3 linked regions of the Stegostoma tigrinum genome follow. The protein of the gene in region 3 interacts with the protein of the main gene of each other region in a biochemical or structural test. Links are inferred from orthologs where the notes say so. Each region holds a gene or a part of one and is shown on either strand. Other genes may lie near its edges. The genes, in order: lin7c, amyloid-beta A4 precursor protein-binding family A member 1-like and 5-hydroxytryptamine receptor 2A-like.

Region 1 (11,260 bases), on a different chromosome or scaffold from region 3:
GAACATACACCCAAGCAAAGCACATGCTGACAGAAAACAAAATCATGTCATAAGTTTACCTGCTCTAAATATATTTAAAGTAAAATTATGAATGAGGTTGCAGGGAAAAATACTACAGAGGGATATAAGAGTGGAGGGACACAGTGAAGTTCATACAATAAAATTTAATTCATCATAAAAGTTGTGGTACTTTTACAGCCTAATTGTGCAATGCCAGCCTTTTCAGAAATATTCTGCTGCAAGTCTCCTTACCATAAAGCATTGTCCAATTAAGTAATTCTGAGGAATTTAGGTCAATAAACATAACATGAGCCATTAATTTATTTACAACAGTTTCCTACCTTAGCAGTAGCATTGGCTCTCACTTCTGGACTACTATTAATATCCACAGTTTCATACACATGCTCGTAAACCTGTGGGCAACACAGTGGATGTTACTACTGGAGAGCTAACTAATTTCCAGGTTTACAGCATTCATTCACAATAAACCTTCCAACAAGTTGGCAGAAAAGAACTGGACAAAACCAGCTGTAAGCAAAATGGATATTCAAAAGTTAAAATAAAACAATAGATTAGATTAGATTTAATGGGAAAATTCCAGCTAGGTAATCATGGTATTCAAAAGACCAGGTTTTAAGAATCTGTTGTTTATGGTGGCGAGAGGTGGGATAATTTTTATTAAAGATATTTTCATATTAAGATCTGCATACACCATTTTATTTTATGCAGTTCAGCATTTAACTATCATCTTAAAATCATAAAGCACTGAACATTCCAGTATTCTATTCTACAATTAAGACCAATTTGGATTATTCTACATTAGACTGACATAACCATTTTACAGCCTTTGAAAGTACATGATATTTCTCAAATGTTTGCTTGTATTTTTGCATAAAAGTAATTATTAAGTGCAATAGTCTTTAAACAGCTTTCTTACTTTATTCTACATCATATAGAGGGGAAAATGTACAGGGACATACTTCGCGCACGGCAATGCAGAATTCACTCTGAAGTACCCTTTGCAAAGCCTGCAGCTTCTGCGGTGGCACCTCTCCACTCCTTTGCAACTTCTCCAGCAGTTCAATAGCCCGGGAAACATCTGGAAAGTCAAGCACAAATTCAAATGCAGTCAGATACACAGCCCAAACCAACTCTTTGCAATTAGTTCACATACGTAACAAAAGCCTGTCCTATTCAGTTGTGGTAGTTTATCCACACACAATAGTGCTAATCGGAAAATCTTGCTGTCCTCTATTGGTCAGTGTTCCAGTGTTTTAATTTCAGGCATCTGGCCCTATCTGAAGGTCCTCCCTCTGCTACTTTCAGAGCTGGAGACTTGATTTGCACTTCTGTTTGAAATTCTGCTTTTATGCAGAAGTGCTTGCTGACTGTCAATCTCAAACAAATGATTCCTCAAATTTATAGATACATTTAAAAAATACAGGCAAGATATGTTTCCTATCTTCATGCGATGTTAGCTCCATGCTATAAAACCAAAAAAAATTGATGATTCCTTTGTCAGATCAAAGTACAAAGTAAGTTGAAAAGTGGGTAGTGAGCTAATTAGCCACAAGGGGTTGTAGGTAGTTGTCTCTTTCTTGTAGAGATATGTGCCAAGTGGTTAGATGCTTGAGGTGCATCACTCTACAACCAGCATGGGGCAGGCAAGGAGCAGGTCCCAAGTCTACCTAAGTCAGAACAGGAACTGAACTTGTTTTGAACATGCTAGTCATCGATCCAACTGTGCTAACCGGCCCATTCAACCATAAAATAAAGCCACAAGTTTAAAGAGAGTGTCTTCTGATTTCGAGTTTAACATAAATTTATTATTATTTACATTTTAACCATGTCCAAAAATAATGATTCAAGCAACTGAATTTTGGTTACTGCAAAAAAGCTTTTTCTGTGGGTGTATGTGCGATTCATGAGAAAAGTCTGACTTTTCAATGAACAATTGTAGTGAAACAGTACACGTCTGGGTGACAGACAGTCGAAAATGTCTTTATACACAAGTTTTATATTGTATGGTCATGTCAATACTACCAGAATAATACCAACACTATTGTTGTTGTCAATTCAGTGGATAACTACCTTTATGAACGAGAGTACAGTAATCTCCATTTGCTACAGTAATCAGTGTTTCAGTATCCGTGCTTGGTTGTTGTTATGACGTACACATCTTCCAAAGCCGCTGAAAAATAGTGTGACTGCTACACATTATTTTGGAAATGAAGCGTGCTTTCAAATTTTATGACACTACTTTTAGTTTTTTATTCTAGCAATCTTTATTTTAAAATCTGAAACAAACTGGTTATTGTCCCCATTGGGATTATTTCCAGTTCTTTTGCTAACCCTAATTCCATTAGTCTCCTTTTGGAATTAGAAGTAGCTGTCCACCCATTTCCTACATTTGGTTAAATTAGCACAGACAATACACCAGGGGCATTGCTTCCTCACTCACTTGCAGCCAAATTGATTTCAAATAATGAAATGGTATTTCTGCATCAAAGAAAGAAAGAATTTGATTTATATAGCAGCTTTAACATCCTCCTGTTGTCCCATGGCACCTCACAACCAATTAAGTAGTTTGAGAAGCAAAATAAGAAAGACATCTGCTAATTTGCGCATAGCAATGAGCCATGAATAGAAACATAAATAGCCAGCCTTAATTATGTTGATTTACAGACAAACGTTACCCAGGACACAGAATTCCCAACTCTCATCTGAAATACATTATGGGGTCTCAAGGTTCTAGACAGTCAGTTTAAAGCTCATCTTGAAGCCAGTATGTCTGATAGATGTTCCCGTCCACTCTACAGATTCACAATCCAAGATGTTCATCAAATTCAGTCAAACTTTACAAAATTACAGAACAAAATGAACATTTTAAAATCTACTCTCCCCTATTACATTAATGTTTCCTTCCGGAAAGTTGCCATGCCCGCAAAGTCATCCTCTGCCCCGTGTAAAGTAACCACTTTATTGTAACTTTCATGTCGAACAAACACAGGTTCACCCCAAATTTAACTTACAAATACAACTTTTATTATTTATTCATGGGATATGGGCATTGCCCATCATTAATTTCCATTTCACAGGGCAGTTAGGAGTCAACCATGTTGCTGTGTGTACAGTATGAGATTTGATCAGACCAGGTAAGGATAACAAATTTCCTTCCTTCTCTCTACAGGTGCTGCCAAACCTGCTGAGTTTCTCCAGCACTGTTTTTGTTTCAGATTTCCAGCATCTACAATTCTGTTTTAAAATTCCTTCCCTGCTGATCTATGCATTCCTAATTTTACACTAAAAACAAACCAGATATGATCAGCAATATTTCTGCTACAACTTTGTACCTTAAATTTTACTCCAAAGAAACTACTTTTTTCCATTAAAATAAAGTCCAGTGCACCGACAGACTGTTGCAATACCAAAGCTGCAAATTTTAAGAAAGACAGCTTAAGTGTCTGTCTCAGTGGAAGTTTTAAAAAAACCTGAATGCAAGAACTTTTTTTAGACAAGAATCCTTTCTGAACAGATATTCAACAACTGCAGTACCATTGAGATCTGAACACATCCTGAAATACTTTACAACAGCATGAAATAAAATTTGACATTGAGCAACCAAAGGATATGAGGAGAGTTAATCATAAGTTCATTGGTTAAAGGCAAAAGGTTTTAAGGAATTTGTTAAGCAAAGATGTCACACTTGTTCCTTTTCCTTAAGGATGGGGAATGGAGAGGTTGAGGAAGGGAATTAGCAGCTTAGCATCTGAAGGCACTGGCGCTTGAGCCATTTACAATCAGGTGTGCACAAGAGACTACAATTACGGAGTCCAAATATCTCAGACTTTTTCAGGGTGGGGGCAGAAAAAAGCAAGTGGAGGTGTTCACAGAGGGGGAATGGCATGGAGGGATTTGAAAACAATCATGGGAATTTTTAAACAAACAAAACAGAAATTGTTGGAGAGATTCCACAGGTCTGGTAGCATCAGTGGAGTATAAAACAGGGTTAACATTTCAAGACCCATGACCCTCTTTCAGAACTAGTTGTCTGTTTTCTCTATCTACAGATGCTGCCGGACCTAGAGAGTTTCTCCAACAACAACATCAACAACGCTGCTGGAAAAGCTCAGCAGGTCTGGCAGCATGAGTGAAGAAAAAAAAAATCAGACTTAACATCTCGGGTCCAGTGACCCTTCCTCAGAACTGGGTTTCTCCAACAGTTGCTGGTTTTACTTGTTTCAGATCTCCAGTCTCTCAGTTCGATTTGAAAATTGTAAAAGCCTGACTTGTCATTTACCCCTTGGTTTGGGGGAGGGGAGGGAAAGAGGAGGTAGTGCTGGTTCCCTGAGGAAGGAAGAGCTTGCTTCCCCAAAAACCTGTCTCGCCAGCTTCCAGCTGCAAAAGCCTTTCTGAGAAACACTCCTGAGGCGTAACCAAGGGTCTAGGTAACCCAGGAGCCAGAAGGTCCACCTTTGTACCAGCAGCCTGGCTCAGGCACCTTATAGCTCGTTCGACTCAATTTGATTTATGCCTTCGCAGTGACCGGAACTCTCCCCCACCCCGAGATGGCAGCTTGGCGAAAGGACAGTGAGGGCGGAGGCCTACCTCTGTCCAGTCTGATGGGCTCCATCACCAACGCCATTCCACAACAAAACGACAGAATAAACGGACACTCCGGAAGTGACGTCTCCAGACGAGCCACAAACGTTTTATTCGTCGCTACGCTCCGGTAACGACAGCGCCACCGGCAGGCTGGGAGGACGCATTGAACCCACTCAGAGCCCTGAACTCAACCTTCGGTCACATTTCGTACCAAGTGAGCCACCCGGATTGCAACTGCTGTGTTTTTCCACATATAGCTTTTCTTTTGGGTCCTATCTATGTTTCTACGGTTTCCCGTTTAAACTCTAGGATTGTTTTTTCACAAGCCTCTGTTGCATATATAAAAAATAAATCGAAAGAACTGCAGATACTGGAAACAAAAACATAAATTGCTGGGTAATCTCAGCACCTTTGTGCAGAGAAAGCAGAATTAATGATTAGGCTCCTGTGACCCTTCAGAACTCCTTCTTCTGAAGAAGGCTCACTAGACCTAAGTGTTAACTCTGAATTCTGCACAGATGCTACCAGACCAGTTGAGATTTTCCAGCAACTTCAGTTTTTGTTCTGTTACCTGTACGTTTATTTGTTAAATTTGGAGCAAATCTATGCCTTTAAATGTTAGATTTTGTAATTTTTCTGTATTATTGCCATTAACCAAATCTGCTTCCATCTCACAGTGATCATGCCAAAACTGCATAGAATGATTTTATCATTGGATTTGGCACCAGACCCAGTCCATGCGTGTGCATGGGTAGATATCGCCATTTTGGTTTGGAAATTGAGTCATCGTTGTGTTGCATTTGTGTAGGTTTTTTCACGACGTAAAAGTATAGCTGTAAAAGGGTGGTGGTATGTTTTAGTTGCTCATATGACATTGTCCTGAAAAACAACTTGTATTGTTTCACAATGTCAAGGACAAGTTAGGTAATATAATCATGTAAATATCTAGGGATTGCTGAGATTAAAATGGTCTATACACAGCAACGAAAGCAAAGTTGCTGGAAAAGCTCAGTAGGTCTGGCAGCATGTGTGGAGGAGAAAACAGAGTTCATGTTTCAGGTCCGGTGACCTTTCCTCAGAACCCTTCGGGTCACCAGACCGGAAACGTTAACTCTGTCTTCTCCTCCACACATGCTGCCAGACCTGCTGAGCTTTTCCACAAACTTTGTTTTTGTTCCTAATTTAAGGCATCCGCAGTTCTTTTGGGATTTTTTTTAAAGCACTGTATGTTTTTCTAAGTTTATCTTGAAGGCACTGTCTAGGTTTTTACCAAAACATATTGGTGGCAACTCTAGTGAAACTTTATAAAGCTCTAGTTAGGCCCCATTTAGAATGCTGTGTCCAATTTTGGGCCCCACACGTCAGGAAGGACATACTAGCCCTGGAGTGTGTCCAGCGGAGATTCACACGGATGATTCCTGGAATGGTAGGCTTAATGTATGATGAATGGCTAAGGATCCTGGGATTGTATTCATTAGAGTTAAGAAGGTCAAGGGGAGATCTAGTCGAAACTTAAAAGATAATGTATGGCTTAGAAGGGGTGGACACTGGGAAGTTGTTTCCGTTAGGTGGGGAGACTAGGACCCATGGGCACAGCCTTAGAATTAGAGGGGGTAAATTTAAAATGGAAATGAGGAGACATTTCTTCAGCCAGAGAGTGGTGGGCTTGTGGAATTCATTGCCACGGAGTGCAGTGGAGGCCGGGACGTTAGACTTCTTCAAGGCAGAGATCAATAAATTCTTGATCTCACAAGGAATCAAGGGCTACGGGGAGAGTGCGGGGAAGTGGAGTTGAAATGCCCATTAGCCATGATTTAAATGGGAGAGTGGGCACGATGGGCCGAATGGCCTTACTTCCACTCCTATGTCTTATGGTCTTATGGTGTTACAGTGGTGCGAGAGTGAGCGGAGAAAAAGCCTGGCTTTAAAATCATAGTAAACAAAACAAATAACTAAAAAAAACAAGTTTCTCTCGCAATTTCTGTTTTTGTTTAAAATATAATGTTTTCTTTGATTGTCCAGGGTGGTTTTTCCTTATGGAATTAGGTCAGAAACAGGCTTGGAACTTCTGTGGCATTGCACAGATGTCCAGAGGATGGAATTGAACCTGGGTTCCTGGCACTGTAAGGCAGCAGTGCTAACCACTGAGTCCCATGCTGCCCCAATTATGTTACAACCATTGAATTATGGAAGGTGAATGCTCAGAAACAGGCCAAAAACTATTTGGAAACTGGATATGAGAGTTCCATCATTCCATGGTCAAAATGAATAGTAGCAATGTTAGTAAAACTCCACATTTTTAACAAGTAGCTTCTCACTATGTCATTCACAAGGAATTCATGATTTGTGCTGTCGATTTCACAAGAGCACAAAGCCATATCGATCAGCCGCCTGTCATCAGATGGGCTCATTCAAGTCCTCTCTTTTTAACCCTGTCAGTCACAACAAATATTTTTATTCTGCTTTTATTACAAAGCTATTTATTATTACATAATTTGTAATACAATTACAGACCCAATTATCAACAATTTCTTGAATTAAAGAAAAGGATTTTATTATCGACTAACCCTGAGGAAATAAAGTGAAAATATGATATTAAATAAACACACACACAAGCACAGGAATAAAATTTACAAGGGATATAGTCTGGTACAGACAAGAAGAAATAAGGCTAATTTTATGAAGATTCATCAAAAATAAGTTATTAGCTGGTGTTTGACAGTACGGGACTTAGATATTGCTGAAAAAGAGACACTTTGTCAGCCGTTTTCTCCATGTGCTCATTTTGCAGAAAGGAGTGTGTTAAGATAGATGGAATATTGTATTTTACTGTGTGTTTCAAAATTTTAAAAATGGTGTTATATATAAATAGTTTGACTTATTTTGTTTTATTTTATTTTATTTTACACAATAAACTTCTATTTTATTGTTAAACTAAATATTAAACATTGTGCACTTGTGTTCTCTGAGGCGGCTGTGTTTCTCTGGAACTCCTTGCCACAGAGAGCTATCTGGGCAGAATCATTATGTGTATTTAAGGCTCAGACAGATAGATTTTTGAGCAGTCAGGGAATCAAGGGTTACGGGGAAAATGTAGGAAAGCAGATGTGAGGAATGTTGGATTGGCCGTGATCTTACTGAATGATGGAGCAACCTCAACAGCTCCTGTTCCTATTTCTTATGGTCTTAAAATATGATCTATAAAGCCAGATTTCAATCTGGGATCTGACTTCTCCAGTAATAACATCAGCTCCGATCATAACAATTTGTTGACTTGTTTTTTAAGATGCAGAGACAAATACACAAGGTGTCAGAGCAGGTGCATACAGACAGAAGAGATCTATAGCAGCAAAGGTGCTTTTCTGATGAATTTCTAAGCAGCCAGGGCTTTGGAGAAGTCTCAAGATTCTTAAAGGTTGGTAAGAAGACAGCTCCAGATGCAAAAAGCTGTGAATGTAAAGATCAGGGAATCCATGGTAAATACTAATTGTGAGCTGAGTTAGCAGCTTGTTTCAAAGGTCTTTGGAAAAGATATATCTGAAGAAAACGACATTTAATGAAAATGCAGCAACTTGTAAAAACAGAAAATGATTATAAGCCATTCCAAGTGAGCAAGAAGCATTAGAATGAAAATTGGGGTTACCTTACACTGAGATTTGAGTCCCTGTAAGGGTATTGCTGAAGTAAAATGGATGAATCTTTCTTTCTGATTTTTGAGAGAAAGAAAAATCAAACTTATGGTCTATGAAGCCAGGTCTAACTCTGGGATCTGATTTGTCTAATATTACCATCAGCTGGAACCATAAAATAGTGGTGGCTACTTGTAGTAGCAGATATATTGAAATTTAAGTGCTTTATGTGAATCTTTAAAAATTAGACCACGGAGGCACTGAGCATAGAAACAGAAGAGTTGTCATGAAGCATATTATAAATGAGCAGAATTTTTAAATAGCTTTGAAAGTTGCAACAATTTCTTTGGGAATAGAAGATGAAACAATGGATTATTTGAAATCTTTAGAGATTAGGCAAATCTAAGAAAGTAGGCATATAAACTGGAGGTAGGGGAAATAAAATAAATTAGTTATTTATTGTCACATATATCTAGAAAGAAAAAGTGAGAAGTGTTTTGTTGCTACAATCCGGCAGCATTTTGAGTTACGAAAAGAATAAAGATAAATTACATAAAGAGAGCACATCTTCTGTACAAAGTGTCGCCAGACACAACTTCAGAGCTTCTGCAAGGTGTCCCAGGCCTCAAGGAGTCCCTGTACTGCAGGCCTACCACAGCCAGGAGTCCCCATTCCGGGTACTGTTTCTGCCATAGCGACCTGCTGCCACCAAGAGACCCCGCACTGGGGCACCACCACCATTGCAGACGATGGCCCGCTGAGTTCACGAGTCCATAGTCTGGGCCCACTGCAGCCAAAAGTCCTTGCACCAAGCACCTCCACCGCCACAGCCAATGACCCGCTGAGTACTGTTCCGGCTTCCCCCAGACATCTGAAGGTGAAGAAAAGAAAATAAAGAGAAAGGAAAGGATAAGAAAGAAGAGAAAGAGGAGGATGTAGCCGGCCTAAAGCGGATTGGCTCAGGAGCCTGAACACTGCCCAATGTGCTGATGCCGCCATCTTGGGGTGTCTATGTGAACAGGATATCATAAAGATGATACTCTGAAAGTGATTGCCCATTGCTTGAAATTAAAAGGAGCAAAACCTGAACGTGATGCGTGGTCATTAAAATGCAGTAAGATTCACTTAGAAATGAAAAACTTCAATTCAAGAAATTAAGGGAGAGAAGGAGCAATATAATAAGTCGATTTGAAAGAAAAAATAATAAATGGAAAGAGTATAGAAAGAAAAATGACGACAACTGGAAAGAGATGAGGTAGAAATAGGAAAGCTTGAATTGGCAAGAGGGAACAAGGATCAAGGCAGGGAAAAAATAGAGTGAGATCTCACACAACATGAATTGACTAAAGAAACAGGGTAAAGGAAGAAAGAAGAGGTAGATTAGAGGATGATAACGATTCTACTGAGGGAATTGATTTAAATGGAAATTCATATTTAGAGCCAAATTTTGCAGAGGATGGAGTTGAAAGATATTTCACTTAATTTGAAACAAAAATAACCATGAAATTGAATGCTGAAACCAAACAGATCACATTGTGTAAAGATTGTCTCTGTGAAAATGTAGCAACAAAGGCACAATTAGAGGATTGTATTGAGAGGACTGGACGAGTACAGTTCATTAGTGAAAAATGTTTTTGTAAAGGGATATCAGTAAGTTCCATTGACTGACACAGCCAAAGAAGTATCAGCTTTTATAAAGCTGGATGGACGTTATCTTTATAGAGTTAAGCTTTTCAGAATGAAAAATGCATCAGCGATGAATCAATGATTATCTAACAAGGTCACTGCAGCTTTGTCATGTAATGCATATAGGAGAGAGAGAGGATGTGGTTGTGTTCAGTCAAACCTGAGAAGAACATTTACAAAACTAGAATGAATTGTTTGATAATAAAATGTGAGGCTGGATGAACACAGCAGGCCCAGCAGCATCTCAGGAGCACAAAAGCTGACGTTTCAGGCCTAGACCCTTCATCAGAGGCTCTCTTTTGTACTCCTGAGATGCTGCCGGGCCTGCTGTGTTCATCCAGCCTCACATTTTATTATCTTGGATTCTCCAGCATCTGCAGTTCCCATTATCAATGAATTGTTTGATGGCTTATTATAGGAAGGCAATGACTTATTGGTGTCATCAATAGACTACTAGTCCAGAGACCCAGGTAATGTTCTGGGGTCTTGGGTTCAGATCTTGCCATGGCAGAGATGCTGGAATAAAGAGTCTGGAATTAAGAGTCCAATGACGAACATGAAGCCATTGTCGATTATCAGGAAAAACCCATCCAGTTCACTAATGTCCTTCAGGGAAGGAAACTGTCATCCTCACCTGGTCTGGTTTATCTGTGACTCCAGACCCACAGTAATGTGGTTGCTTAGAGATGTGATCACCCTCTGGGTGATTAGGCATGGTCAAAAAACGCTGGTCTAGCCAGTGACACCCACATTCTGTGAATGCATTTATAAAAAAGAGACAATCTGGTAATAAACTTGGCCAAAAGTGAATTTACCAAAGCAAAATGAACTTAGTTGGGCCACAAGAGATGGCTCAACCCTTTTTAACATATTAGCAAAATCTTAGGGGTAATTGATACGTGAAGTGTTCTCTATGCAATTCCTTAGCCATCAAAGACTAATTGCCAACCAATCAGCACACTTTTTCTCATGCAGTATTAATTGTTGGCCATCAGTTCGTCCCTTTGAAATTTGGTATTCTTGCATCTATCCTGATGAATGTGAAATGAAAACCATTGGAAGCATATCTTTTCTTAAGCAATATTTTGTTTATATGGACACATTTTGAAACCAAGTTGTGTTAAAAACTCACAATTACATTTTTAGTAGTCTATTTTCTATTATTTTACCCTTTTTGGTTAAGCAGACAAATATCTGATTATACAACTATATGATTACTCTGAGTTGATCTTTATATGTCTCATACATTTCACAAACAAATTGTGAATTCATTGAAAAAATAAGAATTCACTTATCTTCAGTTGCTTCCAGTTAAGTTACTTAGCTTTCAATTTGTTTTG
Region 2 (10,583 bases), on a different chromosome or scaffold from region 3:
ATGGTGGATACACGTATGGAAGGAATTCAAGAGAGCAAGGCCTCGGCAGCTGAAGGCACACCAATGGTGAAGCGATTAAAATCTGGGATATACAAGGTGTCAGACTGGGAGGAACGCATAAATCTCAGAGGGATGTCGAGCTGCAGGTGGTTCAGGGACAGAATTAAAAAGGTGTTTTTAAAAATGTGCTGCAGATGTCACAGGACACAGAATTTACTGTGTAGAGTTTAGGTTTCCTTACACAAGCTGGAATTTATTCACAATGTAGGAGGTTCAAAGATAAGGGCTGTCTTCTGAGGCACAGTTGAGCAAGCTTGGCTGATACTCACTGGAGTTTAGAAGAATGGGAGGTGACCTTGTTGAAAGTCAGGACACGTGGTGAGGAGGTATTTCCCATTGAGAGAAAATCTTGAACTAGGGGACACGGTTTAGAAATAAGGGATCTCAAATTTAAGACAGAGATGAGGACGCATTTCTTCTGTCAATGTAGCATTAAATTGCAGGAGTTCTCCAACACAGCGGCACTGGAGGCTGGGTCATAGAATATACTCAGGGTTGAGTTAGATGGATTTTTATGGGGGTCAAAAAGGAAAATGGAATTAAAACCAAATCAGCTATGGGCTTATTCAATTGTGGAGCAAGATCTTGAGATGGAACGACTTCTCCTGATCCTATTTCTTACGTCCTTATGAATTCCCCATGGCAGCCTGTTCAGAATAAATGCCTTTAGACTCTTTACGTAGATGTTGACAAAGTAATGCAAATTACAGAAGGCAGGCAGGACAGTGAAATCAGATTAGATGGTTCATGTGGAGAAAAAAATGTGCATCAACTTGACGGGCCAAATAGCCTCCTTCCGCGTTACAGCACCATACTACACAATAATACTGTCACATGGTGAAGGGATAATTTGACTTGGTGAACACCACACTGGTATTACTGATTTCCGACACAGCTGACAGAATATAGATGAGAGTGATTAATAGAATTCCACTCCAAGTACAAAAGCCAATTAGTTTTAAAGCTTTTCTGTTATCTTATTTGTACGTCTTAATTCGTACCATCAACAATTTCATTCAGGAACTTGCCCATGTTGGGACAGCACCTTTAAAGTAGCAAACATTCTAGGTCAAAGCATTATCAAAGCAAATGTGACACTGAACAAATAACAGATTTTTTTTGTTATCCTCCCATGGGATATGATATGTGCTTTGTAGCTGATGGACAGTCCTTTGGGAATCGGGATTTTTTTTTCATTAGATTAGATTCCCGACAGTGTGAAAACAGGCCCTTCGGCCCAACAAGTCCACATCGCCCCTTGCAGCATCCCACCCAGACCCATCTCCCTAAAACCCAAACACCCCTGAACACTACGGGCAATTTAGCATGGCCAATCCACCTAGCCTGCACATCTTTGGGCTGTGGGAGGAAACCGGAGCACCCGGAGGAAACGCACGCAGACACAGGGAGAACGTGCAAACTCCGCACAGACAGTCCCCCGAAGCTGGAATCGAACCCGGGTCCGTGGCGCTGTGAGGCTGCAGAGCTAACCACTGAGCCGTTGTTAGTTACTTATCACAGAATAACTAGCCCCTGGCCTACTATGGCCTTTCCAATTCAGTTTCTGGTCAACGGTAACCCTCAGCATGTTGACAGCAGGAGATTCAGCAATGATACTCTATTGAATTTGTAGGGCAAATAAAATTTGCAACTCATCATCCCAAGCCTCAATGATGTCCAGGTTTTGCTGCGTAGGGACACAGGGGCCACTTCAACATCCGAGGAATCATGAATCGTGCTGAAGATTGCGCGATCATCAGGAAACATCCTCACTGCTGGCCCCGTAATGGGCGGCAGGTTTTTGATGAAGCAACTGAAGATGGAGGGGCATAGAACCACACCCTAAGGAACTCCTGCTGAGATGACATGGAGCTGAGATGACTGACTTCCAAAAATCACACCATTTTTCTCTGTGTCAGTATGACTCCAACAAATGGAGTGTTTGCTCCCTGATTCCCACTGCTTCCAGTTTTACCAGGGCTCCTTGATGCCACACTCAGTCAAATGCAACCTTGATGTCAAGGACAGTAACTCTCACCTCACCTGAGGAATTCAGGTCTTTGTCCATGTTTGAATCAAGACTGTAATGAGGTCAGGAGTTGAGAGGCCCTGACAGAACCTGAACTGAGTGACAGTAAGGTCATTGTTGAAGCTGTACCGCTTTATAGCACAGTTAATGGCACTTTCCATTACTTTGCTGATGATTGAGGGAAGACTAATAGGGCGATTGGAAATGGCTGAATTAGACCTCTGCTGTTTTCCACATTGTTGGTTCGATGTTTGTATTGGACTGTATTGGCTAGAAATACAGCTATTTCTGGAACACAAGCATTTATTATCACAACTGAAATGGTGTCAGGTCCCACAGCCTTTGTAGTTTCCCATATGTACTTTGCCCTTGCTGGGTAACCAACTCAGTTTACATTGTGTTACAGTCTGGAGTCAGTAATGACGTAATTTCGGGAGCAAATCCAGATGGATCATTTACTCAGCACGTCTGGCTTCAGATGACTGTACACTGCTAGTTGTGGAGAATACCTTGAAGGAGGGGAGAGAGAGAGAGAGACAGAGAGAGAAGTAGAGATATTTATGGAGGGAATTCCAGAGCATTGGAATTCCCACCATATGCTGTGATGATTATTAAATAAAATTGGGGCTGTTCAAGAAGCCAGAATTGAAGGAGCACAGATATTGCAAAGAAGTGTACAAGTGAAGGACATTACAGAGACACAGAGGGGTAAGGTGATGGACGGATTAGAAAACAAGGATGAGAATTTTAAAATTACTGTGTTGTTTAAGCATAAACTGCTGAGTAGTAAGAGAATCAAGGGATAAAGAGTTAGAACATGAAGACGACTTTGAGGTATATGATCAGATATGATCTTAGCAAACGGTAGAGCTGGTTCAAAGGACTGAATGGCCTCTTCCCAGTTCCCAGTGCTTCCATGAGGACTGGAGTTATGGGTGAACAGGGTCTGGTGTGAATTATGCACATAGCAGGGGATTGGTAAGCTCGAGGAGATTGTAGGCACAGAATAGGCAAGTACGTGAGGTGATTTGAACACGAGGATGATAAGTTTAAACCTGAGGCTCTGGAGACCAGTGAGCCAATGTCAGTCAGCAAGCAGCAGGGCAAGAGACACTTAGTGAGAGTTAGGATGCGGCCAGCGTAGCTGACACTTACGTAAAGTGGAAAACCGGGAGCTTTCCAGGAGAGCAATAACATAGTTGAACATGAAGATGGAAAAGAAAAGAACATGGGGTTCCGCAGCAGATGGACCGAAGCAGGGCCAGGACAGCTGACCTCGTGCAAGCAAGCAACCTTTATGATGCACAGGACATGTGATCGGAAACTCAGCTCACAGTCAAAAATGACAGCAAAGCTGCCAACAGATTAGTTCAAACGGAGGCTTTTACTGGGGAAGGGGTGGTATTGATAATGAGGCAGCAGAATTTGTGGCGCTTTTCAGTCTTCTCGTATTTCACCAAAGTGTGGCTTATGCAAGTCTGGATAGTGAACAAACTGTTTAACATCACAGACAGCCAGGCAGAGCTGCGTATTGTAAGTATACATCTGGAAGCTGACCCATGTCTGCACACATCAACAAGAAGCAGCATGTTACTGAAGAAGTCCTTCCTTCAATCAAACATTCACTGAATGAATGGAATCTGTTATTAGCAAAAAAGTGGACACTAGTGACGGGGTTGAACATTTCAAATCCTTTATCTCCCACAGATCGGTCATCAGCTTTCAATCTGTATACTATCATGGACTATATCATTCACATATCGTACAGATATCTTTTACCTTCCTGACTCATTCAAGTTATTATTGGCTAATGAATAAAAAGTCCTTCAGACACTTGGTCTAAATTCAATAGGACGCATGGTGAACTACATACAGTATTAATTTTTTTAACCTGAGTGAAGTTATGTGAAATGGTAAAACTGGCATTCCATCAGCAACGATGGCTACTACAACTGGTAAAAATGTATAAGGAGATGTGTTTTTAGATCATCGCTTGAGTTATTGCTGCTAAACAGTTACAATTTGCAAGCCAAATAATGTAAGCATTTTAGCCTTTAAAAACAGAGGAATTGTTCCTGCTTGATCTTGGGAGAATTCATAGTGAGTTTACAGGTTGGCTTAAATGGTATCATGTATGATACCTTGTTGCTGTAAGATAGATTCACCACCCTCTGGCTTAAGAGAATGCAACGTAGGTTTGCTCTCCCCAACTCCCTGTTATCACATACTTGTAAACACACCAACGAATGAAACGCAAAAACAAGATCTTAGAGAGGTTTTCTGCTCGCAGTCTGCCATATGCCCGCTACTGTACATTCTCAGGAAAGATGCCATATCAACACAACAAAGCGTTACTGCAGCATGATCCTCAATAAACTGAAGGGCGAGAATAGCATCTTCACAATAAGATGGACCATCTCTTGGATGTCCCAGTCAATGAACAATTCAGAATAAGAAAAATAACTGGAGGAACATACGCATAATATCTAAGTTAAAAATACACTTAGATTGTTCTGCTTTAAGCGTGCTGTTATTTTGATGCGTTTATTTTCTTACATGAAAGTGTACAGGGGGTTTCTGCATCCTTTCTCCCACCTTTTTTACATTTGTCGCAAAATACTCTGCAAATGACTAAAAGCGTTTTGCAAAAAAAAATGAAACTGGGAACCAGAAGCCTGCTGCTACATACCTGTGATTCCTAAAGCCCCTCAAGATCTGGACGTGATTGCATTGCGCGCACTTTGCCCGTTTTCTTGCAATTGTTTAAAGCCCTCTAGCTGCCAGCTGATCCTCCCTGTGGTTCTTGCAGAGACACACTCAGATTTGCAGAGGCACTCAGGCAGGAAGTAGCCCCGGTGTGCGAAGGCGCTGCAGGGCGAAGTGCGCCTGCGCGCAGTCGCCGGCTGCTGGACCGAGGACCGTGCTCAACGCGCAGGCGCCGGAGCCGGGCCCGGTAAGGTCCATTACTGCGCAGGCTCGGAGACGGAAATGTTTCTGATGTTTGTTCTTAAGCCAGTGGTCACTCTCTCACTAAGAGGGCCATTCCACCACCACAATGGTCACTCTGCCACTTAAGAGGTTCACTCTCTCACTAAGAGGGTCACTGTCTCACTATGGGGGTCACTCTTCACCCCCACAATGGCCACTTTCTCCTTAAGGGGCTCCTCCCTCACTAAGGGGGTCACCCTCCACCCCCGCAATGGACACTCTTTCACCAAGGTGGTCACTGTCCACCCCACAATAGTCACTCTCTCACTATTGGGGTCACTGTCCACCTCATAATGGTCACTCTCTCACTAAGGGGGTCACTCTTCGTCACCACAATGGTCACTCTCTCACTAAGGAGTCACTCTGTCACTAAGGGGATCATACTCCACCACTGCCAGTAGTCATTCTCACAATCAGAGGTCACTTTCTCACGAAGGGGCTCATATTTCATCTGCCCCAGTGGTCACTCTCACACCGAGAGGTCATTCTCCACCACACCCCAGTAGTCACTCTCTCACTAAGGAGGTCATTCTCATACCCAGACATCACTTTCCACCCTCAAAATGGTCACTGTCCATTCCCCAATGATCACTCTGACACATTCAAGGGGTCCTTCCCACACTCAGGGCTCGCTCTGCACTCCCCAGGGGTCACTTCAACATTCAGATGTAATTCTCCATTTACCGCAAAGGTCATTCAGGAGTCAATCTCCATAGATAGCAGGAACTGCAGATGCTGGAGAATCTGAGATAACAAGGTGTAGAGCTGGATGAAGCAGCAGGCCAAGCAGCATCGGAGGAGCAGGAAGGCTGATGTTTCGGGCCCTGAAGAAGGGTCTAGGCCCGAAATGCCAGCCTTCCTGCTCCTCTGATGCTGCTTGGCCTGCTGTGTTCATCCAGCTCTACACCGTCAATGTCCATAGTTCATGTGTCATTGTCAGACCCAGGGGTTACTCCCACACTGAGGGTTAATCTCCATCATCTACCAATCACTGTTGTCTTCAGATTATACTCCGCTCTTGATACTGCAGTCACCTTTCAGTTCTTGCAAGTTTCCCAATGACGGGGGATTAACATGGTAACATTACAAGTTTAATGTCAGCATGAGGTTCAATTCTGCATTCTATGTCACACAGTAAAATTTAGATTCCTGGAACCCCGTAGAAATGTGCTCAGAAACAGGATGGAGAAATAATATTTGCACTTTGCAGCTCTCTCACACCCTCCCTGCCTGCAATTCCTAGGTCATTGTAAGGGTTTTATGGTCTCTGCCACTTTTCCTTGAGGACAAACTAAGATTATCATTAGATTCCAGAATGGCCATGGGGAGTTTGTTTAAATTGAAAACTAGTTTCTGCATATGGATTAAAGAGGAAAGAAAATCGAGACTTTCATTTCTACAGCACCGTTCACCACCTCAGGATGTTGCTGAGCTTTAAAGCCAATGAATTACATACATTTAAAGACAGAGCAGAGACAGAAAACTCATCAGTTGTATTAACTGGGCTGGTAAAGTGACTGATACTAAAGGGTAGCCACAGGGTCTGAATAGGAAATGGGATATGTTGTCAGTCCTTATGAGTCATTTGCAAATCTGATACAAAGGTAAAGCTGCCATAGTCCCACTGTCTCACCATAGAGAGACCACTGGTGGTGACTTAACCTCAGACAAGGGCAGTCCTTTATGGTAACCACAGATACTGTGGGAAATGAACCCACACTGTTGGTGTCACTCTGTATTGGGAAACCAGCCATCCAGCTAACTGAGCCCTAAGCTAGCCTGATGATTCTGCCTGGTTGTGAACAGGGAATGTTTTGCGTATTCAGTGAATGTGACGGCCATTGCACCATAGAAACCTTGAGAGAACCTTGAGGTTTAGACCTAAAATTTTTGTTTCACATAATATTTTGCACAAACAAACAAGCCACTCAGCCCAACAGGTCTATGCTGGTGTTTATGCTCCACATGGATCTTTATCTATTCCTTCTTCATCTCACTTTGTCAGCATAATCTCTCGAGTCCTTTCTCCTTGGTGATCATCCACCTCCTCCTTAAATGCAGAATAACCCAAAAGATGCTAGAAATCAGAAACAAAAACAGAAATTGCTGAAAAACTCAGCAGAAAAAACTCAGCAAGTTCTGAGGAAGGGTCATTGGACCCAAAACATTAACTCTGCTTTCTCTCCACAGATGCTGCCAGGCCTGTTGAATTTTTTTTAACCAGCAACTTTGTTTTTTGTCTTCTTAAATGCATCTACACTAATCATTTCACTTACTCCTTGTGCTAGCATTTTTTCTACATTCTGGAAAATTTCACACACTACAGAGTTATATACATTTACACCATTTAGTAAAATTGGAAGAAATCTAGGAAAAATGCTGTGATGAATTTATCATTTGTATGAAACGTGCAATACAAAATGTAAGGAACCTTGTCTTTTTTGCATGGTCTTGCTGAATCAAAGTAAGCATAGGATTGCAGCTGCTTCACTGTATTCCACCTCTCCGGGTTAATGTGGTTATAGTGAGTGATGTCTCTCAGCTCTGCAGTAGCAGCTGCAGTTTCTCCATCCTTCAGCACCATACTACACACCCCAGTGTCAGGGATCCTAAGGAGAAACTACCTCCTGTGTCGACAGTGAAATAACTGCTGCAGAACCGCCATCAAAAGGGCTGTAATTTGGTTAGTTTAGTGCATTATGTTAATTTTAACCTTTTTATGAAGAACTGCTTAGCAATCTGTGATATGTGCTTGTCTCTCTCTCTTGTTTAAATGTACAGAAATCATTTGTTTCTGATACCAAACATTCTAGAGCAGGGAATGAGCACATTTGTTTAGTTCAAAATATTTTGTGAAGAAAGTGAAAATGCATTGTTCTGTAATTGCTTTCTTTCAGTTTTGTTACTGCCTATCTCTCATTTGAAGCAGTTGTAATTTTAAAATTATGTTATAGTCCTTAAAAATGTTAACTGATACAAGTGGAATCTATGTTCAGAGGTTAAATGGAAAAGTAGCAATGGAGAAAAACTGATAAGCGACATTTTAAAAAATATAGTAATACCTTTTGTATTAAACAGGGCAATCTTGCCTTCAAATGCTGAGGCCTTAAGCTCTGGAATTCTGCCCTTGAGCCTCACCTCCATTTCTCATTCCCCTTTTGAAACTAACTCTTTGATCGTTTCAGTCTCCTGCCCTTCTGCAGCTCAGTGTCAAATTTTGAAAAACACCTGTGTGGACAGTCTATTGTGTTAAAGACACAAAATAAATTATTATCCAGCATTTGATAAAACTCTTGCCACCTAATTCTGTGGTCACGTAATAAATATCAACTTTTACTATTTCATGTTTGTGAATGATTGCACACATAAAATTACACAGAATAAAGGGTTCAGAAACAGGATTGTTTGGCTCTAATCTGTTCTGGTGTTTTTTTTGCTCTACTCCAGCTTTCTCCCATCTTACCTCATCTAAATCTATCCACATAACCCTCCAGTCATCTTCCTCATGTGATTGTCCAACTTCCTCCTAAATGCGTCTGTACCATTCTCTTCAACAATCCTTGTGGTCGAGTTCCACATTCTTTGAATGAAAAAGTTTCACCTGTATTCTCTGTTGGACGTCTTAATGATTGTCTTGCCTGGGTGACTTCTACTTATGCTGTTCCCCCACAAGAAGAAACTATGTTCCCACTCCATCAAAACCCTAAGTCTCTTTGCTTTTGTCAATACAGCATCTTCTAAATGCTAAATACCAACTGGGCTTGTGATACAGTGCACTGAAACAGTGGCAGCTTGCCACAGCACTAATTGAGATTGACATGGTTAAGAAGCCTGTTTCATGGTAAAATCCTACAACCATACTGAATTAGAGAATTTGCACAGTTAATCTATAAATCCAAACACATCTGGTCTTTCAGCTACTCTGCAGAGAGTAGAATTCTGAATATAGAAAATATAATTATATCAAAAACCTTGAGCATTTCCTACTACATTACAAATTCACTCGCCAATTTAAAAATTTTTAAGAGATGGCTGTTTCTCTGAAATGTTCCTGCTGTTGGAGCCCAAATATAGTGTCATAAATGTACGGTGGTAATTAACAGGGAATTCACACCTTTTTTACCCAGAGCATGGTGAGAATGTGGATAAGAACATAAGGAACAGAGGCAAGATTGGACCATAGGGTCCATCAATCAAGATGATTGTAGCTACACTTTCACCTCAAACCCATTTTCCTGCCTGGTTTCCATATATTTTGCCTTTCCTAGAATCCAATAATATTTAAATTTCAGTCTTGACTCCTGCCTGGAGTCACATAGAGAGGATGAAGTGGATAGTATGGATGTATTTAAGGGGAAATTAGATAAGCATGTGAAGGAAAAAGGAATAGAAGGAAATGCTGCTAGTGTGAGATAACGTCAAGGCGGAGGAGGGTTCTGTGGAGCTTAAGAACCAGCACGGACAAGTTGGGCTGAATAGCTTGTTTCAGTTCTGTGTATATTGTGTGATAGGGTCAGAGCATTAAGTTATTATGTGTTTGTAACATGGAACTCCTCTTTCACAAGGGCCAAAATTCACAATCAGAAATTCCCAAAATCTTTAATTCATGCTGCTTCCCTCAATCTCTCAACAATAGTTGCAATAAATATCTAGGGTAAATATCCCTCAAGCTCCACTGGAACATCTTCTGTTCGAATCAAGTTGTTTTCAACATCCATCTGTGTATTCATAGCAACCTCCCTCATCCCTCTTACAACCCAGGTAATGACCATGAGACACATAGTAGCAGAGAAGACAGGAGCAGCAATAGGCCATTTGACCCCTTGAGCCTGCTCCACCACTCCATATCATCAAAGTATCAATATCATCAAGCTCCATAATCTCATCCCACACTCCTCCTGTATCTCTTGATCCATTTATCCACAAGAGTTATACCTATCGCTTTCTTGAAAACATAATTGTTTTGTCCTGAGTCACTTGCAATGGTATAAAATTACACAGACACGGGAGGAGAAGTCGGTTATTCAGCCCATTGAGTCTGCTTCACCATTCGGTGAGATCATGGTTGATCTAATAATTCTCAATTTCACTTTCTTGTCCTTTCCCCAATAGCCCTTGATACCCTTACTCATTTAAAATCTGAGCCTTGAATATACTTGGTGATCCAGCCTCCACAGCCTGCTGCAATAAAGAATTCCACAGATCCACTACCTTAAGAGGAAAGAACCTCTTCATCTCAGTCTTTAAATAGGCAATCCCTTACTCTGGGATTATTCCCTATGGTCCCAGACTCTCTCACAATGGGAAACAACCTCTCTGCAAATCCGTTAAGAATTGCATATGATTAAAAAAATGTTGCCTTTCATACTTTTAACTCCGATGATTACAGGCCCAACCTACTCAACCTCTCATCATAAGAAGATCCCTCCATACCTAGAATCAATCTTGTGAATTTTCTCTGGACTGCCTCCAATGGCAACATTTATTTCCATAGACAAGCGGTCCA
Region 3 (10,684 bases):
AGTCAGCCCTGTCACCTATGCTGACCTTCTAATTGCCAGGCTACTCGAGGTCTCCACTGAAAGATAGCCATGCTGCAGGCAGACATGGCACTCTATAGGAGCACTCAGCATGACCAAGGAACATGGAAGCAGTCCACAAATGTGGAAGGGTAATCAGTTGATTTGTACGCTAAATGGCCTCAGTTTATTTATGCATTTGGTTTGGAACATGGTATCTTTTGTCTTTCCCTCGCAGCCAAGTGATGCTCAGCAACAGAGGCAGAATGAGGTATGATACTCTGAGTGCCGGGGTTGTATGGCCATAGAACCAAAGTGCAAGATTACAGGGAGGAAACAGGAGATTGGCCTTAAGTTAAAATGCTCAGAAAGCTGTCCAAGTGCCATCCTTCTTAAACTAGTTGATCCACAGGCAGCCGAACAGGGATGGGATATGTCGGTTGCTTCCTCTATTCCTCTTCCTCGTCCTTGTCATCCTACTCTACTGCCTGTCCTCATCCATATAGCCAGCGGCGAGGCTATGTAGTGTGCAGCAGGTCACCATGAAGCTTGACACTTATTTGTTAAGAGCTGCAGGGCTCCTGCGGATCACTTTAAGCAGCAGAGGCACTGGCCCCTGTAGTAATAGCAATGAAATTGTCAACAATCTTCATCATTTCTCCATTTAATCTGACAGCAAACCTCATGAGATCAGACATGCACAAGATGAGATGGAAATCCAGAAAATGCTGTCAGTGAATCTATGCACTTCCACAGGCTGCATTGTAGAGGTTCCTACAATCTGCAATCTCTGTTGCAATCAGCATTTGATAAGAAAATGTTCAAAAGGGACCTAAGGGGTGATCTTTTCACACAGAGGGTTGTGTGTGTATGGAACATGCGGCCAGACGAAGTGGCAGAAGTGGGTACAATTAAAATCTTTAAAAGATATTTCGACAGACACATAGGATAGGAAAAGTTTAAAGAGATATGGACCAAATGCAGACAATTGGGATGAGTTCAGTTTAAGAAATCTGGTTGGTGTGAACAAATGGGCCCAATGGCCTGTTTCCACGCCATATATAACTATATGACTCTGACTTCCAATTTATATTGTTAGTCATGCTGTGAAAACTCTAAAAAAAATCACACTGAATTAAATAAGTTGTAACTGGCTCCTTAAATGTGTACTAACTTAATGATCACTGATAATGTGTTATTTTCTTCTCAACCTGCACATTCCAAATCCATTTAATCTTGATGCATTCTACACATGTATGCCTGTAAGTTCTCAAGTGTTGCATCTGCAGTATTGTGTCAATAATTAATCCCGTTTGAGACATATTGAACCTTTACCGGCCCAGAAAAATGAACATTTTGTTTGTGAAATTCCAAATTTCCCAGTAATTATTAAAAAGAAGTATCTAAAAATGTAATAATCTATTCATTTTTTATTTTAAATTCAGTCTTAAAACAATCATTGGTTTAGTTTACTATCTGCACATTTTAATTAGATTTGAAGGGGTCTAAATGATTGAGAAACTTAACTGGGTGCCCATTTGCTTGCTGATGTCACTGCTGCTGCACCTCAAGACATCCAATCAGAACTAAATTTGAACAAATGTTAGGACAAGTCAAGTCCACACTGAACGGTTTGCTCAGTCTTTGTGGGGAGTTTTCAAGGCCAGTGGTTACTGCATCATTCAAACCATTTCGGGTCAGAATGGTCTTCACTATTACACATCATGTAGCAACAAAGCTTTCATTGATGTATAGGGGCAGAGATAATGGGAACTGCAGATGCTGGAGAATCCAAGATAATAAAATGTGAGGCTGGATGAACACAGCAGGCCAAGCAGCATCTCAGGAGCACAAAAGCTGACGTTTCGGGCCTAGACCCTTCATCAGAGAAGGGTCTCTGATGAAGGGTCTAGGCCCGAAACTTCAGCTTTTGTGCTCCTGGGATGCTGCTTGGCCTGCTGTGTTCATCCAGCCTCACATTTTATTATCATTGATGTATAGGGTGTTCAATTAGCCTGGATGGCTGTTTTGTGTACAAAGTATTACCTGTAGCATGGGTTCAATTCCTGCACTACCATGCAACCTCATCCCCTTGCCTGAGGTGCAGTGACCCTCAGGTTAAACTACTACCAATTGTTTCATCTAGCAGCTACTCTCTGATTTCTCAGTGTGAGGTGTGCACACAAATGGCACAGCAAATAAAGCCATCATTACAGATCTCAGGCTACTGAACATTGGCCTGCCTGATACACTGTCTATGCTCCCATACTAGCTAGACATTAAGAAAATGGGTGCCTTTTAGTTGTTGCATGTTTCTAAGTAGTACCTGCAAAGTGGACTGTTGTAATCCATGTCATCCTGCACCAATGGGAAACCTGCAAAATTGTATACTTGTTCCACCTGCGTTTTTTTTAAATCTTTGGCAAGATAGCATTCAGTTATCTTGTATTGCAGAACTGAACTGACTTCCCTTCTGCAATCGTAGATGATGAATGAGGAGAACACCAACTCCCACTTAGAAGGGCCTCAAGGCAATTATGCATGCCTACAACAGCCACTAGTAATGCTGCCCTCACTCTGGTTTGAGTTCCTGGCAGATTTCAGTGTTGGTGTTCTTTCTTGTTGGACATAAGGGAAGAGATTGGATTCCTGAACATCCTAGGTGGATGTGGCCTCCTGCTGAGGGTCCTTTTCCCACTCCTCACTCCTCACCCTCTTCCATCAGCTTATTATCCCCTGTGCCACTTGGTCAAATGGAATGCACACTAATGAAGCCACACTTGACTGTGTGTGTGTGTGTATGTGTGTGTGTGTGTGTGTGTGTGTGTGTGTGTGTGTGTGTGTGTGTGTGTGTGTGTGTGTGTGTGTGTGTGTGTGTGTGTGTGTGCACAGAATCCTTGAAATCAGAACTAAGTCCTTCAGCAAGTGCTGCATCACTCCATAAAAGTGGCACTGAAACTCTCTTAGAGAGCAGAAAAGTCAGTCAGCAATTAGATTATAAGTAGTTGATACCCTTCTAAATAATGCTGATGGGGGTCATTCCTTCTGCTGTAAGTGTTTAAGAGATGGTATTGCCTGGAATATTAAAATCCAGGGTGATAGCACTACCATTTAACTGGTGCTATGTGTTGAATAATGCCACAGTCTGATATCTCTGCAAGCTTCCTCTGGTTGCCCCTGAGTGTATGGTAGTTCTCTTACTAAGCTGTTGCCAAACATGGTTTGCACCAGAAATGAAATTAGGCACCGTAAATGCCATTTTGTTGTATAAACAACACCTGTGGCTCTAAAACTCCAGGCACGATGGAGCTGAATTCAGTGGCCTAATAAACATAATTACTAAATTTGCAAGTGCTTGTTAATAAAGTTATTCCAATGTTGTGCCTTTTGATCTCTAATTAGGATACTGTATTCTCTAAATTGCATATGCAATATCAAATTATAATTATACTTCATCTTAAATACACAAGCAGTGCAATTACTGCTGTAGTGACATCCATTCACTACTGAGAATTACAATATGATGAATTGTCCTCTTGCGCACAGTACTAAAATCTGACTAAGAGCTTCTGTTGTTGGAGAAAGAAATTAATGATCTTACAGGCCTCAACCCATTCACAATTCAAAATGAGCTGATCAATGCATTGAAATGTGTTGAATATTTTGCAAAACCCTTTGCCAGGTTCATAAAATCCCAAATAGAACTTACCGTAGAGAATAGTAATGAGCGAAACTGGCATAACTAAAATTCCCACCAACATATCGGCAACGGCTAGCGACATTAGGAAGTAATTTGTGGCATTCTGTAGCTTTTTCTCCAGTGAAACTGCCATGATCACTAATATATTGCCCCCCACAGTCAGTACGATGATGATGAGAATCAACAAGGCTGGCCAGTTCTTTTTTGAGATGTTTGCATGAGCGACGTCCTCTGGCTCTGAGGCATTGAATATTTCCCCTGTAGTCAAATTCTGGTTCAGGGTACGAGAACTGTTGATGTATCTGGCCATGAGAACACTATACCAATTGAAATGCAGAGACACAAAATGGAGCGATTCTGGAAAATTGTGAAGTTCTTCTATAAATAAGGTATGAAATGCTCTGACGTTTACTTTTGTGAAACACCCATGTGAAAGGGAAGACTACCTCGAGCAGTTGGACACATGAGAAGATGATTCATCCATTGTTCTGTGAGCATTCAATTCAGAAGTCAGGTATTTTAAGCGTTCAAGCATTTTTGTATCTGACAAAATGAGTAATGATAAACTGCCTGTAACAGTAGGGTTCTCAATGTTTTCACCTGGGTTACTGAATGCAAAGTGAGAGATTTTCCTGTTTCACACCTCTTTCAGAAGCAACCACAATATCATCACAAATGATGTCAAGCTCCTCAAGTGGCTTATGTTGTCATCCCATTTTCTCAAATTTTATTTTCTTCTCAGATATGTATTTTTGTTTCTCAGTCTCTTCTTCTTACAATCAACTCATTAACATCTAAGCAAGATGTTCTTCCAGTGCTGAATGACTCCAATTCTGAAAAGAATCACAATTACAAGGTTATTGTGTTGTTATTCAATTCAACACTTTATTATAAATATTAATTCAATCAAAACTTGGCATTCCTACCTGCATTCAACATTCAATGAACAGTGCCCCATGTCCTTGCAAAAAATGTAAGAATACATCTCCTACCTATGCAACTACTATTCTTCTACATTTGTTCATTCATTTGAGTTGCCTGTGAAGCCAGGTTTCAGTAAATGGCAGAAGGATTGACAATTTGTCACAATCGCTGCCAAAAATATCAATGCACATTGGCAAGAAATTTACTGAAGTGCCAACGCTGATGTATTTTTCATCTCCGTTGTCCTGATAATTATCTTTTTCATGAGTTCATTAAATTCTGTTTTATCCATTACTACCTCACACAGAACAAAAGGGAAACATTAACTCAGTATGTTCCAAATTACTCATGATAAGATATTTTAATTATGTGCCGAGCTTATGGTGTATTCTTTTTAATGTTTTAACATTGCCAGCTGAGGCTTGTACAAGATGAAAACACGACAAACATAATTTTGCGCCCAATGTGGAATGTCATTTGCTTTCTCAACCAGAAAATTGCTTCACAATGTCAATACCACTGAACCGATTTAACATGTCGGTCAACAAGAGTATGTGTGGATTCGGCTGCAAAAATCTTTTTAAACATGGTAGAAAGAGGTTGAGAATTCTGTGGTGTGTAATTCATCTAGCTGCACAAAGCTTTTAGCCAGCTTTTAGGCACCAGCTAGGAGTGTGATGGAAAATACCCCACTTCCCTGGATGAGTGCAGTTCTAACAACTAGCTTAATGTCATCCAACAGTCAAAGATGACAGCTGATGGGCAATTTCTGAAGAGCAACTAGGAATGGGCAGTAAATGTTGGCCCTGCCAGTGAATGAGTTGAAAACAAGTTAAAGAGGAGCAACAAATGCTGGCATAGCCAGCAACATTCTCCTACCATGAATTAATTTAAAGAAGGTATAAAGAGAAGTTTAAAAGCCTAATAGAATGTTGGCTATGATGTGAATCTCTGTGTGGATTACAAAGAGAAGGAAGTTGTAAAGTCTTAATTAGGCTATACATGGGATGCCGCATTAAGTTTTAGACCTCAAGAAGTGTGCACTAACCTTGGAAATTTGTCACACAGATTCATCAAAATGATTCCTGTTTATGGAGGTTGAACAACAAGGCTGGGCTGTACAAATGTGACTTGAGTGTCATGGACTGAGAGGCCATCTGATGGGTGCTCTTTCAAGTATTAGAAGGATCAAGTTGATTGATACAGGAAAACTAATTCCGTAATATCGAATTGAAAATGAGGTGACTTGGTCTTAAAATCAGGAATCACTTTTTCACTGAAGAACAGTTCTACTTGATTGTGTGATAGTCCTTCCATGAACACATCATCGCAGAACATCAAGCAAGTGGACTGCATTTTGCAAAATGTAAATCAAGTTCCAAGTTAAAGAACAAGGTCCACCACAACTAATTGAAGAGCAAATGCTCATGGGCCACAAATGCTGATCTTTTGAGCAATGTTCATATCCTAAGAATAATAATTGTTAAAGGCAAACTGTTTGTGGCAGCAATTTCTATCACATGAACTACAGCCAATACTAGTAGAGATGGGTTCAAGTGTCATTTGCCCATTACTGTAATAAACTCCCTTAGTATTTGGCTATGTCTTGCAAATGAGAGAGGCCAGGAATGTTATAAAAAGCACAGCTGTCTCTCCTGCTGCAGTTAGCTGTTGAACTGCAGGTTTGTTGGCCTATTGGGAAGCAGGGGTCTAGAAGACAGCATACCTTCTGTGATGCACCAACTGTCTGGCAGAAGAGCTGCAGGCAACATTAAACTTTGATGTCACTGATAGTGCATCACAGATGGTTGCTTTTGCCTGCAGGACTGACTTGACCAGATGAGAACCCTGTGCCTTCAATATACCCAGGTTGGTGAGTGACTCTGCTGCAGCAGACTTGAAGAGAGAAGCAGCTTGCTCTGAAGAAGGGTCTAGACCTGAAACTTCAGCTTTCTTGCTCCTCTAGTGCTGCTTGGCCTGCCGTGTTCATCCAGCTCTACGTGAGATGATGTGTTTTGGGAGAGCTAACATGAGGAGTGGTAGAGCCCTGGGAAGTACAAAGAACCAGAGGGATCTTAGAACATAGAACATCTTGGTGTGCATACCCGTAGATCCTTGAAGGCAGTAAAAGCACAGACCATGTAGTTTAGAAGGCATATGGGATTGCTGCTTTTATGAATCAAGCTATGGGATACAAGAACTAAGAAGTTCTGATGAAGATGAATATAATGTCAGTTATGCAACAGCTGGAGTACTGTATGCATTCTGGTCACTACACAATAGGAAAGATATGACTACATTAGAGAGGAGAGCCACCTGGACAATGCCCAGGCTAGAAAGAGTCAGCTATGAAGAAAGATTAGATAGCCTGATGTTGTTCTCCTCAGAGCAGGGAAGGCTGAAAGGTGTTCTGATCGAGGTATACAATGTTCCCAAGGGTATAGACACAGTAGATAGGAAGAAACTTTTCCTCTCAACAGTGGGGTCAATAACGAAAAAAAAAAAACATTTGAACAGGTACATGGAAGGGAAGGGTTTAGAGGGATATGGGCCAAATGCGGGCAATTGGGACTAGCTGAGTGGGTGCCATGGTCAGCGTTGGCCAGTTTGGGCCAGTTTCTATGCTGTAGTACTCCATTAACCTATGACAAAGGGGCACAGTTTTAAGGTGAGCAATAGAAGGGCGAGAGGGAATTTGAAATTTCTTTTTAACCAAAAACCTGTGGGTACTTGGAATACGTCACCTGAAAGGGTTGTAGAACTGGGGATGGTTAACTCATTCCAGAAATGTTCGGATGAGAACTTGAAATGTCATTGCAAATAAGGCTACAGAACCAGGAGCTGGAAAATGGGATTGAAATAGCTAGATGTTTGATGATCTGCATGAACACAATGGGCCAAAAGGCCTATTTCCATGCTATAAAACTGGATGCCTCTATCTATAGGATGCAAACCAGGACCAGATCTCCTATCCTGCTGCTCTTGTGACAGAGAGTTGCACCCAAGCTGTAAATTTCTTCTGCACTATGTGCTTGTCAATGCTTGGGTAATATTTTTAATTTCCAGATTAATTTTCTTTTTGTTCCCTTACCCTATGTACGTTACTGATCTTTAACAATGTGTTGAGCGTCCGCACCCAAAATTTTAGGATGGAACAAGACTTCAAAGCAAAGGGTATGATGTCCCATTGTTCCTTTGTAAAGTCCCTATTCATCTTTTTGTTAAATGAACATTATAACTCTTGGTAATTTAAATTAATTACTTGGCATTTATTTTATTGCTGTAACAAAGCATTTGTTAAGTATCTGTACGTACTTAAAACAAATTATAAGTTAGTGCAATGCAGCTGAATAGAACATAATTAGTATGTAATGTAATTAGCAAAATTGAAGGCTGTGGAATTAAAGGGGTACTGGAAGTGTGAATAAAAACTTGTCTAATGAACAGAAAATAGTGGTAAAAGGCAGTTTCAGATTTAAAGGGAATGTACAATGCTGTCCCACATGGATCAGTATTATAACGCCTGCCATTTTTAGCATCTGTTAATGACCTGGACTTGTTAGGTAGGGCATAATTGAACATTTTGCAGATTACACAGAACTCAGAGATATAAGTAAACAATGAAACTGTGAAGACGCTATTAGCAGACTTCAGTAGGATGTGGGTAGATTGGTTAAAGTGGTAGATACATGCAGAGAAGTGTGAAGCAATGCATTTTTGTAGACAGAATGAGGAACGGCAGCTGAACTAAATGGGATGACTTTAGAACACAAAAGCAAGGAAGTTATGCAAACCATTTTGAAAACGCTGGCTTGCCTTTAGCCAGAGAAATGGGCTGAATCTTACATTTTTTAGTTACGTTTGCGTTGCATCAATCTTTTTTCAGGGAAATCCATTGTGAGACCTAACGGGTTTTCTTGCTGTTATCTTACCAAACTCATCTCATTAAGTACCTACTCCTTTTCTACAGCATTTTTAACGTCCAGTTCTTCCCCATCTTACCACATGGCACTCCCAGGGCAACTCGACATTCAGCAGATCTATGCTGAAAGATGTCATTGCTTGCATCTGCACCATCTCCAAAAGGCTGCTGTGCATCCAGATAAGTGCTGGCTTTCTGAAATTGCCCCGCTCGGTCAAGGGTAGACTATGGATGCATTGGAGAAGGGGTAGGTGACGCCATTATTCCAGGACAGGGACTTAGAGGTCCAAGTCAAGGAGAAGGGTCAGTATGATCTCCACCATCTGGAACATTGGAAAGCAATGTCATAGAAGCTGCATGATCTGCTCTGCTGTGTCAGTGCAAGTGCTACCATCTTCTCCCTGCTGCCTCACACTTGTGGACTTTGGCATGTTCACAAGGTCCTCACCAATGTCTACAGTCGCACCATTGAAAGAAAACTGTCTGGGTGCATAATGGCCTGGTATGGCAACTGCTCAGTCCAGGACGGTAAGAAACTACAGGAGGTTGTGTGCACAGGCCAGACCATCACAGAAGCCAACCTTCCATCCATGGACTGTAATTACACGGCTCACTGCTGCAGAAGGGCGGCCAACATCATCAAAGACCCATCACACCCTGGTAATGATCTCCTATAATCTCTTCCATCAGGCAGAAGATATAGAAGCATGAACACGTGCACGAGTAGGTTCAGGAACAGCTTCTGTCTGTCCATTATCAGACTGTTGAATGGACTCCAGACTCAACTAATGTGACATATATGCCTTTAAGTCTTTTTGATCTGTACTTCCTTTGCTTGCTGTGATCTGTCTATAATGCACGTAAACAAAGCTTTTCACTGTATTCAGTACATGTGGCAATAAATCAATAAATCAATTAATCCATCTTTCTGCTATGGCTCACACCTCCCACCAACTTTCATGCTCTGTAACTCTTACTATTGCCTGCACCATCTTCTCTCACTTGTGCTTATTCTCCCAACTGCCCACACCACTAATTCCTCATGACATCGGTACAGCCTAATCACTCCCTGGGAATACCTCAACACCTTACCACCCACCTGAACTAGCTCAAATCACTATGCAACCCATTTTTATCACACTCAATCCCTTTCTTGTTCTCATTCCAGCTCACAATAGGATGAGGGGAGCCTATGCTGATGGAGGGATGCCAGACATGTCCCACACGATGGGAGATACTTGTCCATCACATGAGAAGACTAGGAGTGCTCCTGCAGGGTTGCTATGTCCTGACAACCAAGTAAGTACCATTCTTAATTCCACTGCAGCTCTCACAGTAATCCTGCTGCCAATGTTGTTCATTGTACATCATTGCCCACAACACTGTCTTCTCCCTCGCTCATATCTTTCGTGTCCATCACCTACATCATGAAACAGCCAACTGCCCAAAAGCCAACTCCTTGACCTCAGAGGACACGGGGTGGTGCATAGATGGAACAAGCTACCAGAGGAAGTGGTGGAGGCCAGTACAATTGCAACATTTAAAGCCATTTGAATGGGCATATGAATAGGAAGAGTTTAGAGGGATATGGGCCAAATACTGGCAAATAAGACTAGATTTATATAAGATATCTTGTCAGCTTGGATGAGTTGGACTGAAGGGTCTGTTTCCATCCTGTTTATCTCTATGAATCTGAGTACTGAGGTCTCAGAAGAAGCATTGACAGGGCAGTCTCCTGAAGACCACACCAGTACAAACACTGACACCTCAGTGGCAATGTCAGCCTTAGAAAGTAATGGATCACAATCTGTTGAACACCTCACTGTGACAGCTCCGTAGCTGAAGAAAGAAGGAGCCACAATTTTTGGGAGGGAATTGGATAAACACTTGAAATTGAGATATTTGTGGGACTGGAGGAAAGGATCAAAGGGAGTGTAATGAATTTGTCAAAGAACCAGCAGAGACAGGATTGGCCTAATATCTCCTTCTATTATGCAAAATGCTATGAATGAGTTCAACAATGAAATATACTAAGACTCCTAGGTGAAGAAATCTTCTGCACAACTGCATAATTCATCAATTATATTACATAACCCACTATATAATTTTTAATATTGTAATGGTGTAGGACAAGTAGTGTG

Evidence for each region.
Region 1: the proteins of 5-hydroxytryptamine receptor 2A-like (region 3) and lin7c form a complex in vitro, tested with the Homo sapiens proteins (2 studies listed by BioGRID and IntAct, with this or other methods). The link is inferred for Stegostoma tigrinum from reciprocal best matches to the Homo sapiens genes HTR2C and LIN7C.
Region 2: the proteins of 5-hydroxytryptamine receptor 2A-like (region 3) and amyloid-beta A4 precursor protein-binding family A member 1-like form a complex in vitro, tested with the Homo sapiens proteins (2 studies listed by BioGRID and IntAct, with this or other methods). The link is inferred for Stegostoma tigrinum from reciprocal best matches to the Homo sapiens genes HTR2C and APBA1.

What each region holds. Positions count from the first base shown.
Region 1 is NC_081370.1:53,125,186-53,136,445, forward strand, and holds the start of lin7c (protein lin-7 homolog C), read right to left. Parts: upstream 4,724-11,260; 5' UTR 4,646-4,723; coding exon 4,609-4,645; intron 1,100-4,608; coding exon 981-1,099; intron 414-980; coding exon 342-413; intron 1-341. UniProt on the Homo sapiens protein: Plays a role in establishing and maintaining the asymmetric distribution of channels and receptors at the plasma membrane of polarized cells.
Region 2 is NC_081356.1:28,369,965-28,380,547, forward strand, and holds the start of amyloid-beta A4 precursor protein-binding family A member 1-like, read right to left. Parts: upstream 4,952-10,583; 5' UTR 4,779-4,951; intron 1-4,778. UniProt on the Homo sapiens protein: Putative function in synaptic vesicle exocytosis by binding to Munc18-1, an essential component of the synaptic vesicle exocytotic machinery. May modulate processing of the amyloid-beta precursor protein (APP) and hence formation of APP-beta.
Region 3 is NC_081368.1:62,024,094-62,034,777, forward strand, and holds the start of 5-hydroxytryptamine receptor 2A-like, read right to left. Parts: upstream 4,217-10,684; 5' UTR 4,008-4,216; coding exon 3,707-4,007; intron 1-3,706. UniProt on the Homo sapiens protein: G-protein coupled receptor for 5-hydroxytryptamine (serotonin).